3 linked regions of the Danio rerio genome follow. The protein of the gene in region 1 purifies or fractionates together with the protein of each later gene. This does not show direct contact. Links are inferred from orthologs where the notes say so. Each region holds a gene or a part of one and is shown on either strand. Other genes may lie near its edges.

Evidence for each region.
Region 2: the proteins of wdr48b (region 1) and rad51ap1 purify together in Homo sapiens (affinity purification with mass spectrometry; 5 studies listed by BioGRID and IntAct, counting the BioPlex papers as one, with this or other methods). This does not show direct contact. The link is inferred for Danio rerio from reciprocal best matches to the Homo sapiens genes WDR48 and RAD51AP1.
Region 3: the proteins of wdr48b (region 1) and atad5a purify together in Homo sapiens (affinity purification with western blotting; 3 studies listed by BioGRID). This does not show direct contact. The link is inferred for Danio rerio from reciprocal best matches to the Homo sapiens genes WDR48 and ATAD5.

What each region holds. Positions count from the first base shown.
Region 1 is NC_133177.1:53,191,885-53,198,617, reverse strand, and holds part of wdr48b (WD repeat-containing protein 48), read right to left. Parts: intron 4,949-6,733; coding exon 4,853-4,948; intron 4,508-4,852; coding exon 4,402-4,507; intron 4,083-4,401; coding exon 3,995-4,082; intron 3,639-3,994; coding exon 3,562-3,638; intron 97-3,561; coding exon 1-96. UniProt on the Homo sapiens protein: Regulator of deubiquitinating complexes, which acts as a strong activator of USP1, USP12 and USP46. Enhances the USP1-mediated deubiquitination of FANCD2; USP1 being almost inactive by itself.
Region 2 is NC_133179.1:5,639,077-5,646,535, forward strand, and holds the start of rad51ap1 (RAD51-associated protein 1), read right to left. Parts: upstream 3,920-7,459; 5' UTR 3,576-3,919; exon of another isoform or gene 3,519-3,575; intron 1,698-3,518; 5' UTR 1,521-1,697; intron 1,437-1,520; 5' UTR 1,336-1,436; coding exon 1,283-1,335; intron 1-1,282. UniProt on the Homo sapiens protein: Structure-specific DNA-binding protein involved in DNA repair by promoting RAD51-mediated homologous recombination.
Region 3 is NC_133178.1:24,999,617-25,005,676, forward strand, and holds the end of atad5a (ATPase family AAA domain-containing protein 5), read left to right. Parts: coding exon 1-444; intron 445-1,815; coding exon 1,816-1,974; intron 1,975-3,408; coding exon 3,409-3,487; 3' UTR 3,488-3,784; downstream 3,785-6,060. Other genes in the region: adap2 (arf-GAP with dual PH domain-containing protein 2), read left to right, coding at 5,199-5,286. UniProt on the Homo sapiens protein: Has an important role in DNA replication and in maintaining genome integrity during replication stress.

The sequences.
Region 1 (6,733 bases):
GTGGCCTGCGACTCCGTGTCCAGGTTGATGATCTTCTCATAAACGTGCTCCATCACTTTGCGCACCTGCAGCATGTCGCTAGCTGACAGGCGATCCCTGAAAACAACAGAGCGGGATTAGGATCTCCAAAACCTTGATCTCGGAAAAAAACACTAAACAAGTCAAATCTAAGCACTTTTCAAACACTTTCCAGATGCATTTTCAAATGATTTCCAGAACTTTACAGGTGTGGCAAATGACATATTTACATACTATGCTACATATATCTGATGCTACGTGTTATTGTCACTTTCCACACCACACAACAGCCTCAAAACATTATGCAAATTCTGAGTGTGCCTCCCACAGGTGAGTGGGCTTGAAAAACTATCTGTAGAAAAAAATTGCACCTGATAGTTTCTTAAGATCACTCGACATTTAAAAAAAGAAAAGAAATAGAAAAACATTGTGCATTTATGAAGTGAGCTTCACACAGGTAAGTGGGCTTGACAAACCACCTGCAGAAACACTCTTCTCTCTTAAATAAATAAATAAATAAATAAATAAAATAACACTACTCCCTCCTAACTCTAGCACTTAATTCTCTGAAGAGATCCATTGTGTAATTCTTGCGTGTATTGCCTCTTCTTGTTAAATCGCTAAATGCTTCCTCAATTGTACATTTAAGAGTTCACACTTAGATATTGCTTGATAATAATGGCAGGTTTGGCATGCTGTCCCAGGAGAGAAGCCTGAGGTCTGAGATAATTGAGCCCAGGGCTACCACATGGTAATTTAGCATTTAAGGCGGTCCAAGAGCAGGTAGTTCCAGTGAACTCCCTCTAGTAGAGGAGGAAAAGGGGGAGATGGGGTGGAAGGGGGGGATTTTTCCAAAACGAAGGTAAGAGAAGTAAGGTGAAATGGTCTATTTATTGTAGGCTTGGATTAATCTGATAGGTTCATTGATGATTACAGGTGAGAGACCAGCTGTCTATCTATCAATAATATCATGTGTTCCTCTCAAAATTAGTTTATCAAACTTCCCAAAGGGTTTACTAAATGAAGTAGTCTTTACTATATATAGTACAGTTTAGTAGTATAGTGCAGTACAGTATTCTAAGAAAAAATGTGATGGCATGTTTTCTCCAAGCCCAACATTGAATTACTGTCATTTATAAGGATGTAACGATGCACGTATTCGTATTGAACAGTTCTGTACGAGACTTTCGGTTTGGCAAACACTGCACTAGCTCGCAAAATGGGTATACTGTTAATGTAATCCTCCTATAACCAACAGCAGTTCTGGCGTTTGGGAACACTTTGTTTTCGGTACATTTAAAGCTGTGGATATGAGACAGGGCTCGAAATTGCAACTAATTGTTTTGGTTGCATATGCGCCCAAAATTTTATATATGCGACGTTAAAATATATTTGGGAGTGCATAAAATTGATGTCGTGCGACCAGTTTTCACAGCAAAATGTTCACCACGTGCGCGGAATTGGGAGGCATTCACGCATTAAGCATCTAAAAACAGCAAATGCAGCACTCGGGAATGGTTTAAAACAGTTGACATGTCAAGTTGCAGTAAACTAAGCCCACAATGCTTGCCCCACCTTCAAGCTCTTCTTATTGGCCCACTGCGCTAGAACAGAAAGCGAATGGATTGGTTAATATCGCTGTCAATGGCTGAGTTCCAATGACAGGAAGCTACAGCCGCAAAAACGTAAAGGTCTGGATACGAGAGAATGAAAATAACACTGACAGATTTAGTTATAGAAACCACCAAAGGAACAAATGTAATGAATGTCAATCCAGCATTTACACTTTTTGAAGAGTGGATAAAAGACTTCCAGTGTTTAAAGTCTGCTATGAAAATGACTAAAGCATTCACCGTAAAGCCGGTGGGACAGAGTTTTCAGGTAACAGTGTTTGCCACTGAATCTACACATTAAGCACGAGATGTTCTAACATAATTAATCATCACGATGCTGTCAATCGTGCGACTGACACCGTGTTCACCATCGCTAAAGAGCATGCATTCACTGAGATGAAACTAATATTGCAGCTCATGAAAAGACCGTTACTGCTATTAAGATAATGCACGCAAATAATAAGTTATATGTCAATATCATCTGTGCAATATCAGACACCACCCGTGAGAACACAGTACAGTTATTATTGTTAACTAATAATAGGGCCAGTAAATTAAAATCAGAGAAATCCTCAGGCTTTTTTCTTTTTTTGCTGTATCGAAAACATACCGAACCGTGACACCACTGTGTTGTATCGAACAGAACAGTGGTTTTTGCGAACCGTTACACCCCTAGTCATTTACTCTCTGAAGTGTAATTAACTCACATTGTAAATGTGCATACGCACAGACTTAAAAAATATTTATTTTATTTAACTCATTATTATTTACCTATTTAAGAACTAATTATTATGAAAGCAGAATAACTATATTTTCAAGTAGTTTCAAGCACTTTATCCAAAAGCTAAAGACTTTTCAAACCTTAAAAACAGCAGAATCCAATTCAAGGATTTCCAACACGCACAAGAACACCTAAACACACTTCAAAATAGACTCATAGTATGTCTAAATAGTGTTTAACTAAAGGTGCTGTATGCAAGTTTTTCTCCTCTAAAGTATAAAAATACCATAATATGTTTGCAGATATTTAAGAAACATGCTAAGTGAACATTCTTGTTTATCTGAAAAACAATGCTGAAGTCAGATATTCTGCTTTGAAAACGTGCGTTATGTGCCGGAACGGCTGTCTTTTTTTTGGTTCTTTTAACTCGCCCAATGCCAGTTTAACCAATTATATTTCAGCATCACCGGTTGCATTGGTGGAAAACAGCATATTTCATTCAAAAAGACTCTGAAAGCATGCATCCGTGACCAAAATGCGATCTCCGGTGGACAGTAGCAGACTCCGAAATGAGATGCAGATTCAGAGTTCCACAAGAGGTTATTAATTAGAAAATAATATTACGAGAGTAAACATTAGGTGAGCAGGTTACATTGTAACCCTGTGTCAAAACACGTTACGTGACGAGATTTGCAGTGATAAGCAATTTGGCTGATTGCACCAGACAAAACACGACAGAAATTTAAATACAGTCATTCAGAAACACTGAATATGCACTCGCTAATGAAATGGTAAGGTTTATAATGTAATTAATACATACTAAACCTCTTTAACATTATTAAACGTACATGCTGAATCATCATCATTGTCAGCCTTCTGTAGTTCAGCTTTAAGTAATTTAAGCCGTTTCTAAAATAAAAATTTCAGGTGTTGGTTAGAACAAAAACTCCTTTTAATATGGAGAGTATTACTTCTATCGCATGCTGTTGCTTTTATTTAGAACAAGACTTGAATCAGCCTTTAGGCTCGATTGTCAGACTCGTTCCAGTTGGTCAATCTGGCAACCTGGCACTTGTTTTTGTTTTGATCCAAGAATGTAATACCTAGTTCAGTCACTGGGTGTCAAACTTACATACTGCAGCTTTAAAAACAAAAGTAGAATAATCCTTAGTGCTTTTAATTTCAACACCTTTTCCAAACACAACCTACTTTTTGAGCGTTTTGGCCCCAGATGATGAATGAGGTTGGAGGTAGAATGGGATCTTGTTGAATTTTGGCATGTTTTTCTGAAAGGAGGAAACATTGTTAGGATAGTTCATCCAAAAATAAAAAAACACATTCATTAATCATTTAGTCATTTACCCTTCCCTTGTTGAAAACCTATTTGAGTTTCTTTTCTCTGCCAAACACAGAAGATGATATTGCTGGTAAAAATGCCGGTAGATGGCACACATAGTCATTTTTTACCATCAAAAAAGTTGATGTGTGCCAGCAACCAGCATACTTCAAACTATCTTCTTTTTTGTGCAAAAGAAATAAACTCACAAAGGTTTAAAAACACATGTAAAGTAAATAATATGCAATCTTTAACATGCAATCAAAAACAAATTATTGAGTTGATTGTGAAATTTGAAACACTCACATCTACAGTGATATCGATAACCCACTGAGGTACGGTTTCATTCAGTAACATAGACTCCGTCTCTCCTCCAGAATCACGGCATAATAACCTAAAATTGCAGTGAAAACGGATTGTAAAAAGACAAGTTCTGTGAAAGAAAAGTCCAATTATTTTAAAAATTAAATCAAATTATAGTCTTATCTATCTGTAGTCTTAGTCTTAGTCTTATCTATCTATCTATCTATCTATCTATCTATCTATCTATCTATCTATCTATCTATCTATCTATCTATCTATCTATCTATCTATCTATCTATCTATCTATCTATCTATCTATCTATCTATCTATCTATCTATCTATCTATCTATCTATCTATCCATCCAACCAAGTTGAAAAGTCATAGTCACTATATCATAGTTATTCTGACCTAAATAATGTTCGCCCTCCTGCTTCACCAAAGATCACAGGAGTGTGTGGTGGAACCTGGAAGTAGCCATTGCCCTTTTGAATTCGACTCTCCTGTTCACCGTTTACTGCAGACAAAAACACACAGAAGATGATTAGTCAGAAACCACTGTACTGTATAGAGGTAGTGTTTAAAAAAAGACATCTGAATTTCAGAAATAATTAGACTGGAGACAATACACTGCACAACTAGAGTACAAGAATAAATATGCATCCTTTGTAGAATTCAGTGGATTTAGCATAGTTTCATCAAATATGACATATGCATAACTAAAATGTATTGATAGAAAAAACTAATAAAAAACGTATTGCTATTGAAACTTAAATTCTGAACAGCTGCACATGTTGATTATTGATTCAATATATAGTCTAGGGTTTAAAATAAAAGCCATTATAAAAGTGAATATGTCTACCATGGTTGAGCTCATTTTCCTCCTCTTCCATTGGGTTTATATGAGTTCTGGGCCAAAACTCCAACAAGGCCTGCAAGAGCAGCCCACCAAGATTCACTGAATATGAAAAATATAAATAATCATTAAAAAACAAGCATACAAACAAAAAAGCTAACACATTAAAATAATCATACTGTTTAGCTGCATAATAGCGATATTTTTTTCATCTATGTAATTATATATGTATTTTGGTACATGGAAAGTAATGTTAGATGTGCCTTGAAATATTCAAATGCATAACAAAAGTATTTCTTTCATTAGGTAAGATATTTAAATGAAACATTTAACAATGCATTCAATGTAAACCCAATGCAAAACTCAAGTGAGTTTAGCTATTAAAAAATATTACTATTTTGTCAAATGTTTTTTCGTGATGCTGAAATACAAAAGCTAAATCCTGTCAATCCTGATTTCCAACAAACATGACAACCAAACAGTGTGAAGCACAAATCATTTTATTACAGAAAACACGAGCTACAGTGGTTTCCCCAGTTGCACCAACTTGAAACCAAGCGGCAACATCCCACTCTCCCTAGTGAAGCTAATATGAATGTAACAGAAACAGAAATTCATCAAAATTCTGCTTTAGAGCACATTTCTATTGACCCCACTGTTAAAATAACCAAGTTTACAGCAGAAAAAAGGGTGTTTACAGCCTGATACAAAAAACGGTTTGGTGTATACAGCTAATACTACCCTTCATGACAACTGTGAGGGGGGTGAATTTTTTTTTATAACTCATCATCGTTTCATTTATATTGAGTTATATTAAGTCTGCATAATTAAGGGCGTGGCCACTTGAGTGACAGCTAGGTCTCGCTAGTCGCTGTCTCATCACCTCAGCTGATTCCGGCCGATTAGCTGCTGAACTTGGCATATTCATCATATTTTTGTTTTGTTTTCTGTGGCTTTACACAGTCAGTTGCTTTTTGGAATTATTTCCTACAATCATCAGATAATATGGCATGTTGTGTTTACTTAATTGTGCTCACAAATCATTCAAATGGCCTCTATTTCATAGGTTAGTGAAATTCTTATATACTTAATTATCAAGTCTATAAATGTATTTGTTTTATGTAAGATCATTTACAATTTATAATATTTTTAGATCTGTAATGCACTCCAAAATCTGACAGATTGATTAGGTGAAGGCTCTAGAGCAGTCATCTGAAACGTTGTTATTCTGTGTTGTGCCTGGATTTCATAAACAGCCTTGAATTTACTAACACAGGCTATATTTAAAGTATTTGGAAGTAATTTATGTTTTCCTCTTGCAGAAAAACACCATAAGAACAATGCTTAGTGGCTCAATGTATTCCAACTGTGATTTTAAAAGTCTAAACACTATTGATATAGTGCACAACCAATCACATGTGGTCAGAACACAAACGAGTTGCAGGTAATGAAGTATTATGTGTTTCTCTCAAAAAAAAGCCTGTTTAAGCAAAATGCTAGCAGGCATCTGTAGCTCTTTTTTCCCCTTGTTTGGTAACCGCCGGTTGGTGCGATGATGCTCTAACAAAATGATTACTGCTGGCCATTCCTACTTGTAGCTTTATTTGCGCTCTTCAGAAACCTACAGGTGACGTCACGGATACTACACCTTATATTTTTTACAGTCCATACTTGTAACACATTGGATGGAAAAGTGTTTTATTTGCTAATTATTGATGCAGCATTTCAAGTCAAGTCCCAGCTTTGGAAAGAAACAGAACAATCTTATATTCCCTAATTAACAGTGTTTTAAATTGCTTCAAGAAGAGCATTTTTCTGCATAAATATTTAATATTCATATATTATGCTGAAAAACAATACAGCAAAACAATCCATGAACAAAGCAGA
Region 2 (7,459 bases), on another chromosome or scaffold:
TGTGTGTATGTATATATTTTGTTTGTTTGTTTGTTTGTTTGTATACTTTATTGTCCCTAAATGAGAAATTTTCTGTGGACTCACACAGCGCTTCAGCAAGTTCTTACACAATAACAATTAAAATTAAGTCAACATGCAAAAGAATTACATACACTATCTATCAGTGTTCAACAGTCTGATTGACACTGGAATAAAAGAAACACCTATTAAGATAATAATTTTAAAAAATTCAAATTGTAATAGGATACATTTCGAGCGCAACGTTTACTGTTTTAAATCCGAATTGCTCTGGAGCTCATACTTTATTTAAAGAAGACACTATTTTTATGCAGATTATCCACTGAAGTGCAAAAATGTAATTTTTTTAATTAAAGCAAGTTGCGTTTCAAATTAGAGGGTAAAATCTCAAAAACTGAAATTTATTTATTGTCCTTCAGCTTAGTCTCGATTTCAACACAGCGGAATGAACCGCCAACTATCCCAGCATATGTTTTGCGCAGTGGATGCCCTTCCAGTTGTAACCCAGCACTGGAAAACACCCATTCATTCGTTCACACACACTACAGCCAATTAGTTCATTCAATTGACCTATAGTGCATGTCTTTGGGCTGTGGGGGAAATCGGAGCACTCAGAGGAAACCCACGCGAACATGTGGAGAACATGCAAACTCCACACAGAAATGTCAACTGACCCAACGGGGACTTGCTTGCTTTGAGGACTCTCTTGCTTGCCCCTTAATTTAGAATATTATTGCAAAATATTTTTTAAATGATAAAATTCATATTAATTATTATACACTGAGCCACCGTGCCGCCCTATTTCCAAATTGCTATTTTTTTTACCTTGAACAACCCATTTGTGACCATTTTTCAGAACAATTGAATCTTTTCGAATCATTTTGAAGTTTTTTGTTTTCCCTTGATCAAACTCTTTAAAAAGTATGGCATCACTGATACGATTTCAAGTAAAAATGATAATTAAAAACAGGTTTCCCGACATGAACGAAAAAAAAAGTGTAATATTGTTTGGTGGTCTTATCAAGTCTACACTTGTCTAGTTTGATTGTTGGGTTTGGAGGATCAGACTGACCCGCTGGGAAAAACAAACCAAACAGTTAAGTGGAACTGCAGCAGAACAAAACATTGTGGGCACGTGGCTTTGTTTGGGTGTCTAAACTGTGGAAACTAAATAAAACTGCAGGGTTTTATATAGAAGTGGCCTTTTCCTGTCTATGGACACAGCAGCTGTTTGAGTGTACAAACATATTGGACAATAACATACCTGAAGCTGCTGCTGCAGAGCTTTGATGATGAGCACATTGGCAGCTTCAGCATGAACACATGTGCATGTAAGAAATGTGATTTGTCTGAGCAGATATTTTAGGATCGTCTGGAGGAGTTGAAGAATGTGTGGCCACAAACTAGTCTATCGTCTGCTTGGATTGCAGGACGTCAGTCAGTGCTTTTGAGTCGTCCAGGTCCCCTGCGTGACCAACTCAACCAAATTGCCGCCCACTTACCGGCAGGAAAATGACAAGCCTTAGAAGATCACTAAGTTTCCCTCGCCGGAGAAAATGAGGGACCAAAGATGGTGAATGTTTCCTGTTGGAGTGGGCGGCAGAGAAGACGTGTCCCATTCTCCTACCCATCAGCAGGTTGGCACATCTGTCCTCCAGAGGTCAGTAGCACAGCGCCATCTATTGGATGAGGAGACACAATTCAATTAGCCTAAAATCATAGGATCTGACGATCAATATAAATACAATCTTCAAATGCCCATTTTTATGATGGACATTTGATATTTTACCTTCTGATCACTAATAGGTTTACACATACATACCATCGCATAATCGATATAATCCAATAAAATATGAAATTGAAAATAGTATACCCTAATATGCATTACGTCACTTTCCATTAGACTGGCTCCTTCGTTGTCTTTGTTTATTTTCCCCACACAAAGAAATACTTAGGAATAACTTTAAAGTCTTAATTCATGAGAAATCTCTTTTTATTGATAGGTGGTTTGTTTTTGTTTTGGACTAATTAAAAAAATTATGGCAATATTCTGGAATATGAGGAGTTTATGAGTTTATGGTATAATTTCCGTCTGCCAGCCACAACCTTCAATTGTGTTATATATAGTTTTGTCACCAAGTTCATTCACACATTTATTTTATTTTCGGCTTATTGTCTTTATTAATCCGGGGTCCCCACAGCGGAATGAACCGCCAACTTATCCAGCACGTCTTTACCTATATTTTACAGTCTATGGTCTTTACGCAGCAAATACCCTTCCAGCTGCAACCCATCTCTGGAAAACAATCACACACAATCATTCACACTCATACACTACTGACAATTTAGCTCACCCAATTCACCTGTACCACGCCTTTGGACTGTGGGTGATACCGGAGCACCCGGAGGAATATGCGAACGCAGGGAAAACATGCAAACTCCACACAGAAATGCCAACTGACCCAGCCGAGGCTCGAACCAGCGACCTTCTTGGCTGTGAGGCGACAGCACTACCTACTGCGCCGCCATGTCAAGTTATGTGAATTTATTTCAAATGTTTCTTTACTTCAATGAGGGGAAAACAATTACACCTAAACTTTTTTTTTTTGGATGGAGATTCTTTTTTTGATTAAAAAAAATGTGACAACCGACATGTCAGACGATTGTTACATTACTCTATACCTCCCAAAGATGTACATATTTCTGGGCCAATTCCTCTGACAGCATTCAATGGAAGAGAGCATGGTTATTACCTAAAAAATTCAGCATGTCCAACAAAGAGAGATACATTTTAAGATTTTCATATGTATATCCTACAAATTCCCAAATTGCTATTTATTTTGAACTATCTAATTTGTGTACTTTCTGTAATAAACATGAAGAGACTTTATTTCACTTATTCTATAGTTGCACTCAATCACTCACGTCTTTGGAATAAGATTTTTTATTTATCGTCCTTATTTAAATATGATTTAAATTTGTCTATAAAAGATATATTTCTGTATCTCTCAGGCAATGATCATGCTCTCCATCTTCTTGTTATTATTATTTGTTCCACTCTTAATATTTTTCACACAAAAATAAGTTTCTAAAGGCAGTCCCTAGATTTAATACTTTTACTTGCAGAAACTGAATCTCTTATTATTAATAATAAGAAAAATAAGTTTCCTAAAGCTTATGATAATCTTTTTTTTCTTAAAAATTGAGGCTTTGTAAAGTTTGTATTGTTTTCTGTTTGTTTGTTTTTTTGTTATTATTTTTTTCTTCAATGCAGTGATGTTATTATTCTTATATTCAATAATAATAACATCAAAAACGTTGTCTTTGTTCATATCCCATCTCAAAACCTCTCAAAATCTTTTCCCTTAACCTTTGGCACTTGATTTTATGTTTGTTTTAAATAGTGTGCATAGTGTGTACGTATATCTGACTCGTTAACTCGTTAGACTGTAACGTTACTGCACTTTGGTGGTTAAGTGCTTTATAAATAAAGTTTGAATGAAAGAATGAATGAACGTCAACCAAAAAATATAAAACGCAGACATTATTTAACTTACCTTGGTGTTTTTCAAGACAAGTCATGTCCTTCTGTACTCTGTGGAAAAAAAACAGCAGACAAAGCACACTATCTAGGCTAAGTTAACGTTACATGTTTGAAAATTCAGTTAAAACGTCGTGCTCGCTCTCGTCCATGACTATAGTTTTGATAAAACGTTTTAAAGGATGGTCATACACGACACAATCCATTAATTTCAAGTGTTCTGAGCGTATATGGTAAAAAATAAAACGCAATTTGATGTATTATTAGCGAAAATTCTGAACTCATCGACCGTTAATTTGCCATGCGCGTTCACGCACTCCGACCGCTGACGTGATTACTTTTTCAGCAAACGAAGTGTGTATTTACGTCACATGTTGTTTTTTATGACGTATTGTTTTTAACCTTCAATTTCTGAGCGAGTCGGAGAGAATTGCTACGCTAATATTATGGTGAACAACAGCAGAACATCAATTTAATGGCCAAGGTAAGGACTTTTGATTCAATATTTTGTTTTTTTGTTTCAATTAGGCCTACTTTAGGCTAATATAATTTTATATCACAGACATGTAAACACATTGGTAAACACTGAACATTCTTAAATCTAGATAAATATAGTAAAGAAGCAAAATAACTAAATTATACATGAATAGTTTTTGCTTTTAAAAGTGCTAGTAGTCTATGAACAATGCTGTTGTTTATCTTAAGTGATTGTAAGCTCACATTAAAATCACTGCTTTAGCTTCACTTTTAAAAACAATAATTAACAAAAGAAGAAATTAAAATGATTAATTTAACTGTGAGAAATATGCTACGCCATTTCCCTGACTTGACTGTCCATTTTTTTTTTATTTCAAGCATACTTTGATTCATTTCAATACACTTTTCAATACATTCAAATATTTTCTCTGCACACAAAGTATACATTTCCAAGGGAAAATACTTACTACTAACTTACAAATCCAAAAACAAATCAAACTTCCTTGATTTCAAGTTTCAGCATTTCTTTTATTGCATGAAAACGAATACGTGTACACATTACGTGTGAATATAGAGGCCAAAACTGCGGTGGTGCAACTTTAAAGTGCTTAAATAATGGACGACATCAAAAAAGACATCTTATGAGTGTTTACGTTCAGCCAGCTCACAAAACTGCATTTAAATAATACTCATGATAAAATCAAACACACAGACTTGTAATGTGCTTCAGTTGCTGGGTTTGCAATACAAACTGTCAAATCAAGCAGTCTTAGTGAGCCCTGTCAGTCAGAGTTTTTGACTTCCTCCAGGTGGTCTTTTCTGTTGATAAAGACCCCCTGTATGCGTGTGGCCCGCAGGACACTCTCTTCCCTATGGATGGTGAAGATGAACCTGCTGATGCCAGTGTTTGGACATGGAGAAAACACCTGGTTCATCTTAAGACCTGCGGGCAGACAGCACTGCAGATCCTCCACCAGATGACGCACAGATACGCGGATAAACGCCCCGTGACTGACCATCAGAGCGTGGACGGGTACGTTCTGTGCTCCATCGTCTGCCAGTCCAGCGATCACAGGCTGATCTGCTTCCGATGGCGCAGAGCTCAACGCAGAGCCGTGCTCCTCTAACATGCGCTGAAACAAGGATTTGAGGAACTTCTTGAAGCGAGTCTTTACCTGGAGAGACAAAAGCAGGATCTTCTGTGTGAGCATTTGGGTGCTGTTAGAAAATAATACTAAAATGACTAAACAAGCAATTTTGTAGGTCAGAAGCTGCTTTTAAATGTTTTCAGGAGAAATCTCACATACGCTCACCAATTTATATCAGCATTCATTCATTCTCCTTCAGCTTAGTCTCTTATTTACCAGGGGTCACCACAGCAGAATTAACCGCCAACTATTACAGCATATGCTTTATGCATTGGATTCGACAGTGGGGGAACCCGAAGCACCCAGAGGAAACCCATGCCAACACGGGGAGAACATGCAAACTTCACACAGAAATGCCAACTGGCCCAGCCGGGACTTAAACCATCGACCTTCTTGCTGTGAGGCGAGTACTATACTATTATTATAATATAGCTGCAATCACATTACTCCTTCAATACAGGCTTTTTGCGGTATTTCCTTTTACATTATTTAAAGAAAGTCATATTTCTTTTAGTTTTAGTCTTTAGTTTTAATTTAAAACTGCTGAGGTTGATATTATTAGCCCTCTTAAGAAATATGAAACATTATTATGTTTGATTGCTATGGAACATAGCACTGCTGACCAATGGCTTGCCTAATTAACCTAGTTAAGCCTTTAAATGTCACTTTAAGCTGAAAACTAGTCTATTGCAAAATATTATGTACTGTCATCATGGCAAAGAAGAAAATAAATATTTATTAAAATCAATTATGTTTAAAAATCCTTCCAAAATTACAATAAAATGTTATTATAATATGTACAATATGATTACAGTTGTTTTTTTGTATCATAATCAAAAATAAAAACACATGTGCAACTTAATATTTTTATAGAAGCTGTGATACTTTGGAAATTAAGAATTTTTACAAAACTTTTAATACAAAACTAAAATCATGATTTTCAATTCAATTCAATTCAGCTTTATTTGTATAGCGCTTTTACAATGTAGATTGTGTCAAAGCAGCTTCACATAAATGGTCATAGTAACTGGAACAGTGTGTTCCCAAAAATATTAAGCAGCAAGATTGAATAAAGACAGATTACATTTTAAAATAGAAATCCTATATTTTACATGACTATTATTATGTTAAACATTCAACTAGTAATATATTTGACAAATTTCTGTCACAACATCCAGCTGAACCTCATAAATCTACCTCATATTTCCATTTGAAATGAAGAGCGATGATATGTTTCAGGCTCATTCTAAAACGTACTGCTATTTACATTTCTGGAGAGCGCCAAATACATCCCAGCAGCAACGTTTTTTTAAACTTTTTTTTTTGTTTTCGCAACTTCACCAGAGGCCGCTGTGTATGCTTTTGCTCAAATTTCTCTCACGGGTGCAATTTGTGCCTGCTCTTCTCAAGTAAATCCACCAGAGGCCGCTTTCGACTGATTGACTCACCCACCCTCCTCCTTGCCTAAACCCAACCAATAGTGTCTTCAAAAGCACCGAATGACTTACCCACCCTTCCCTAACCCAACCGTCAGTTTTAAAATGCAATCCAAAAAAGAAAAGCCGTCGCCTGATTTTTACAACGTTTTCAGATTTTACCACATTCTTACCCTGTTATTTACTTGTTTATTTTATTAGTAGTTTCTATTTTTGTCTTACCAGCTTTCTGGAACTGTTCCTCGCCTGAGTTAAACCCCGTTGTCGTGATCAACTCCACTCTGCACCTCAACTCCACCAACGTACGCGGCAAGCTACTGGACAAACTGGTAACAGTGGGAAAGCCGTCCATACAGAGGTAAGCGGTCAGCTGGTAAGTGCGATAACGAATGGCATCATATTGCCCCATAGCATTTGTCCTAAAGACGAAATGCAGCCCTACGTACTTCTGGCTACATAATTCACAATCTCCAGAAATGTATATAGGGGTATGTTATCAGAAAGAGCCCATGTTGGATATCTTGCAACATTTAAGGCTATTTCTATGAGGGAAAGTTCAGTTTCTACCTGTTCCAATGTCTCTCCCCCGGGCGGTGTGTAATCTCTACAGGCTTGACCTGCTGCATTCGCCATGTTCTTCAAATGTTCCTTTGGTCTTCCCTCTGCAACCCCAAAACCCTGTTTAAAAACACAACATGCAGCAAATAAAAACCTGGACCAATGAATCTGAAGCTTGGCAAAGCTTGACAGCTTGGCAAACACTCACCCTCTCTCTGAGTAAAGGATCCAATATCATCTCAGTCGCAGAAGAATGAAGATTGTTTCCTAAAATGATCTCA
Region 3 (6,060 bases), on another chromosome or scaffold:
CCCCAAAAAATCAAGGTGTATTGTGTTAACTGAAGCCGAAAAGAAGAAGAGCAAGCCAGTGATGCAGTGCTTGAGTGGTTTGGCAGAGTTTTTAGACCACATGTCCTTCCTTGACTCCTCACTACACTATCAAGCCTCGCAGTCAGAGGGGTTTTGCCGACCCCAGGATTCTGGCTGGACCAGTGCAGAGATCAAGAGCGGGATGACTGATGATATTCGGTTAGAGTCTGTCAAGCAGGCCAATAGTGTTAGTGTTGAAGAAGTGCATGCTGTTTTGGAGCATTTGAGTTTTAAGAAGTGCAAGGCTGTAGTGTCTGATGCCTGGGACAGAGTGCAGCAGCTGGAGGCCGAGATCAGAGGAAAAGCTGAGGAGGAGCTCACACTCTCCGTGGCTCCACACAGACAGAGCTTCAGCCTCACACAGACTACACCTTGTGAACCAAGGTAGGAATGAGATTTTTTTTTTTGGGTTAATTTCATTTATATATATCTTTTCATCATGGAAAAAATAATGGATTAGCAAAGCAGTGTTCCTCGGAATGAATGAGTTACCCGTTATATGTTGCCCACCCGTTATATGTTGCACAACTAGTGGCTGATTTAGTTAGGATTATTAGGCTATATCATTGAAGAAATAATTTCATATTGAAGCAACTAAAAAAGTCTGTAAACTCTCAAAAAGAGACAAGCAAGAAAAATTTCTTGAAAAATAGGCAATTGTTTCGGTTACCTTGACCATTGTCAATGCCAAGATATCCATGTTAGGACAGGAAGCCATCTTAACTGAAAAAAAATCTGCGCACACTCAAAAATCAGAAAGACACAAGCGAGATGAAGTGACAAGCAATTGTACACACCTATTGGATTGTTTTTAAGGAGCGCTGAGTCTTAAGTTGCCTTTATCAGAATATCCACTGGGTCTTAAAAAGTCTTAAAACATCTTAAATCTCAAAAGCCAAATGTTAGGCCCTAAAAAGTCATAAATCTACTGAAAGGTTGTGTTGTAGATCTTAAATCTTTTTTAATTTTCTTATTTTTCCTTTGCTCATCTATAGCTACCTAATCTGGCCATTAACACCCACACAATCACCAACAATCCATCTCAATAAAACTTTTTATTTAAAACTACTTTTCTTACAGTAACGTTTTCTTAAAAGTTCTACATTTATTTACTGTTGAGGATACTGACCCTATATTTTTTATTCTTAGTATTCTAGACTGAAGTAATTGACAGCTATGTTTTGTTCTGTTCTTGCTAAGGGTTATAGGGTTGTGAAGGGATTTATTTGAAAATTAATACAAATATTAAAACTATTAATATTATTATTATTATTGTATTATTAAATGTATTAAATTGTAATCATTGTTTGATAAGGCAAGTGAAAATCTATTTGAAAATAGCTCTTTGTAATTAAAACATTTCCTTCATAACGGTCTTAAAATGTCTTTAAAAAGTCTTAAATTGAACTTGGTGAAACCTGCAGTAACACTGATAGCTGTATATTTCCAAAATAATATAATAAATAAAAAAATCATTAAAACTTCAAACATGAAACATAAAGATCAAGCTTGTGAATTTATGCATGCATTTTCTTAAGTTAGTAAAACTGAAAAGTTAGTGTTTAATAAATTGTTAAACATTTTGTTAAAAACTTTTTTTAGTATGCATTTTCTCATTAATTGCAAAACAATTTAATAAGAGTTAAAAATTAAATAGAAAAATCATTGCATCTGCTGACTATTACATTACTCTGATCTCTCATTTTCATTTACCGTTCGATTAAAAGGTAATCCTGTTTGTGTTGTTGTGTAAAGAGTGATGGAGAGGAGAAGTGAGGTGCTGAAGTCAGTCCTCTCCACCAGGTCTTCTGGAACACTGGGCAGCCGAGCAGCAGTGGCTCTGGATTACCTGCCCTGTCTGCGCACCATCTGCAGATCAGAAAGACTGAAGGAGCAGGGAAAGATCAAACGCAGGTCACTTAACCACACTTATATTTTTACTTTCATTTTCAGTATTACAAAGGTTTATTTTCTTATTGCTGATGTATTATATCAGGCATATTGTATAATTAATTATAACTGCTTTCACTCAATTTCTATGTGGGGCACAAGAGAGTAGTCTGGAGAATGCTTCTTCCGATATTAAAAGGATCAGACCAGAAATAAATATTCTTTTATTAATTACCCATGGGCTTCTAAACCCATAAGGCTTTTATTCCTCATTAAAACACAAATTAATCTATTTATCATGCATTCTGATAGGTTTGTCCATCCAAGCATTGACCGCTTACGCAACTACTACTTTCAAGGCCATAAATGCATGAAAAACATGACTGGCTTCAGGGATTTATTTATTTTATGAGATCATATGAATGCATTTTGTGAGGAAAACAGCCTCCTAAACTATTATTATTAAACCTCAGTTCAGTTTCTATCACTAGAGAACTATAAATAATACAAAAAGTGCTGTGGGCTTTGTGTTTAAACCGCATTGCACATCAATGTCATTTTAAGCCAACTGGCCAATCACAGTGGAGAAGGGGCGACACAAAGACCACACAAACTAACTGTCAATACTGTACATCAGGATATTTTTAGGAATGTGTAGGCTTATTTGACATCAGAAATTAAGCATTAGCATTATATGTAATCATTAAATGTTATACCAATATTATATGCCAATTCTTAATTGTTTATAGACATAAATGTTTCTAGTTTATGACTGTTGTCTCACATTAATGATATCAGATGATGAATCGATAACTCTGGCAGAGGCAGACCTAAATAATTTAAAACAGGACATTTTTGTCACCGCTGGGGGTCTCTAATGCATGTCACACCCTTGTTTATGCACAGTGGCTCTGTTCTTTGTTTCCCTCCCAAAGTGAGATCACTTCCACTTATTCAGAGGGAAACACCCTTGGGCACATTTCACAAGTAAAGATTGCACTCTAAATTTACAGTGGGCAAACTAAAAAATATAAAAATAACAGCTTTAAAATAAACTAAAAATGACAAATAACAAAAAATAAAGGTTAAGTGCTTTATGCAAATATTTACAACCTATAAATAAATGTGTTAACTGATGCAGTTTTGTTTTTTTTATTTGGCCTGGGTGTATCGAAAACGGCGACACTTCAATTTGGTCAGAGTGCAAAGGTCTGTAAAAATGAAACGGCAAAGGGACAGGATGTGGTTTTAGCAAGCTTATATATGACACGAGAGATCGCAAATTGACAGACGAGGTTTTGTTTCACTTCTTCATATTTATATTTGTGTCAGTGTAAGCCTTTTACATTTTGTCAGCATTTGTTTTGTGGACGTTTCAAATGGTCCCATTCTTCACGTTGCATAAAAAAATTCACTTATTGCATAAAATGATCAATTATTTATGTTCTTTTTTTGCAGGTTCTTGCACTATTTGGATGGTATACACTTCACTCTTCCTAAAAGCACCGTGGAGTTCCTGGCATCCGATTTCCCTTAAATGACATGCATCTTCAGGCAGCCGGTCGAGGGCTGCTGTGAATATGCATTTGTACAGTAATATATACTCAGAAGGAGTGTGCTTTTATGTTGTTGTGTGGATAGCATGGATTTTGTACGGTTTTAAATTTGCCGTTGCTCATTATGAAGATCATTTATGTTTTGTAATTTGTCATGCATTTTTCAAAAGGTTTTATCAAGTAATAAATTTGGATTTGCTATTTGCCAGCAAACATGTTTTCCTCAAAATATGTATGTAAATTGTATAAGATCTTTAAACATGATGGTGCTACTGGAATTTGTGTGCAGGTTGTGTATGATTTATTTTCCTCTAACATATACATTTCAGCACATTCAGTGTGAGTGAAGGCCTTACCTTGCTCATTTTTCAAACTCTCACCTCCACCTCTCCAAAATGGGATGGTTTTATAGTCTACTTGAATTCTAGAAGATAACTATACCTGTTAAAGCAGTACATGCATGTTTTGTATGTGGTTTTAGTATGCAACTATGTACTTAAGATTAGATTATAAGTAATATCACTTAATTATTAATCTAGATGACAATATCATTTTCATTGGCTTTGTCTTGTATACTACCTCTGCTGAAAAAAAAAACTAGCTTAAACCAGCCTAGGCTGGTTGGCTAGTTTAAGCTGGTTTTAGATGGGTTTTGGCAATTTCCAGACTGGTTTCAACCATTTTCAGCCTGGTCTTAGCTGGTCAGGCTGGTGGATAACCAGCTAAAACCAGCTTGATAAGTCAAGCTAGCCATTGAGCCCAGCCTAAACCACCTATGTCCAGCTTAAACCAGGCTTTTCAAGCTGGTTTCAGCTGATAATTTCCCAGCCTGACCAGCTAAGACAAGGCTGAAAATTAGCCCGGAAATGGCTAAAACCCCTCCAAAACCAGGCTGATCAACCAGACTAGGCAACCCAGCAGAATTTTTTTTGTTTTTAAAAGATGTCTAATAGATGTCTAAACATAGTCATTTTGGCTTAAACAAGACTTAACTTGGGCTGTCAGTGAAAATCCAATATACATCTAAAAATAGGCCAAAACAATCATATAAACAGAAATGAATGACTACACATATAAAGTCTGTCTATTTGACTACAAGTCTAGTTTTGGGTTATTTTTAGATGTCTATTAGATTTTCACTGACAGCCCAATTTAGCCTTGTTTTATAGCCAAGCTGTCTACGTTTAGATGTCTGTTTGACATCTATTAAACACTAAAATTGTTTGCTGTGTAGTTAGGAAGTAAACTTAAGTTATACTGTAGTCAGGACACTGTATAAATGGTTTAAACCTTTAATTAGACGTTACTGGTGTTATGAGCGGTCAATCACTGTGTACAATTCGCTATCATTAGCAACCAGTCCTCATTTATAACGTCATATTACCATACGGTGTCAATGCTGTTATTAAAATAGCATGTATTTCAGCAGCAGCTCAGTGTTTGTTGTTTTCTCCAGGAAGTGAACACGAAGGGATTTTTTTGGCCCATTGAATGCTTGCGGAAGACCTCGCTGAAGCCGCTGCACCACAACATTAGAGGCGCATTTGACTGTCGATTCTGACGCGACAGGAGTGTTTTAGCGACCGAGTGACTGAAGTAAACCGCGAAACCGCACCCTCCACACGTCAAAGTCACAGGCAAGAGAGAAGAAACTAATAACGTTACCTTTATGTTTTTAAAAGCAAATCGCCTATGGCAAATCGGGAAAAGAACAAAAAGATACTTCTAGAATTGGTGAAGCTACCAGAGAATAACTGCTGTGCTGACTGTGGAGCTGCAGGTGAGTACAGTTAACGGCTATTGTTTCTCCATTGCTGTAAACTGCATTCACTCACAGTCTATTGGAAGTGTACAGAATTGTCAGAATGTTCTCTGATATTGTTCATTAACATCTCGATTATTAAAGTTGAAATCTAAAATATTGTAGGGGTTAACAGTAGACAGCTTGTCATAGTCATGGTTTCACAAAAGTGCCTCAATGGATGATATTCGTCTAGTGCGCTTTAGTGGCTTCAATAAAAACAAACTCGAACTTGTTTTACATTTGCATTTAGTTAAAATTAGATTTTTAACCCAAAAGCTTTCATTGAAATTTTCATTATTGTAAGTCATTCATTGTTTCACCTTTCAAAAACAACTGAAATCGCACTTAAATATTCTAGCCTATAATATAATAAGAATATACAGTTTTAATTTATTTCTATATGACCTTTCATAAAAAAAATCGCAGTTTTACACTTATTTTGTATTACTTGTTTTTCTTGTACAAAAATAAACTCATCCTACATGATGTTTCTCAATTACAGCTGACTGAATTGGGTCACTTTAGTTTTTAGAGGTATATTTTTAAGCTAATTAGCACATCACTAATACACAATTTTATATTTATATAAATATATATGTATATGGTTATATATATACACTACACGTTAAGATATAGATATGATTGTTTACTTGTTAAGTAATTGTAACAATGAATGGAAGTAAACCTTGAAGCATACGCTACACCTTAAAGGTTTAAGAATGTATCCCCATACTTGGTGAATAGGGGGGA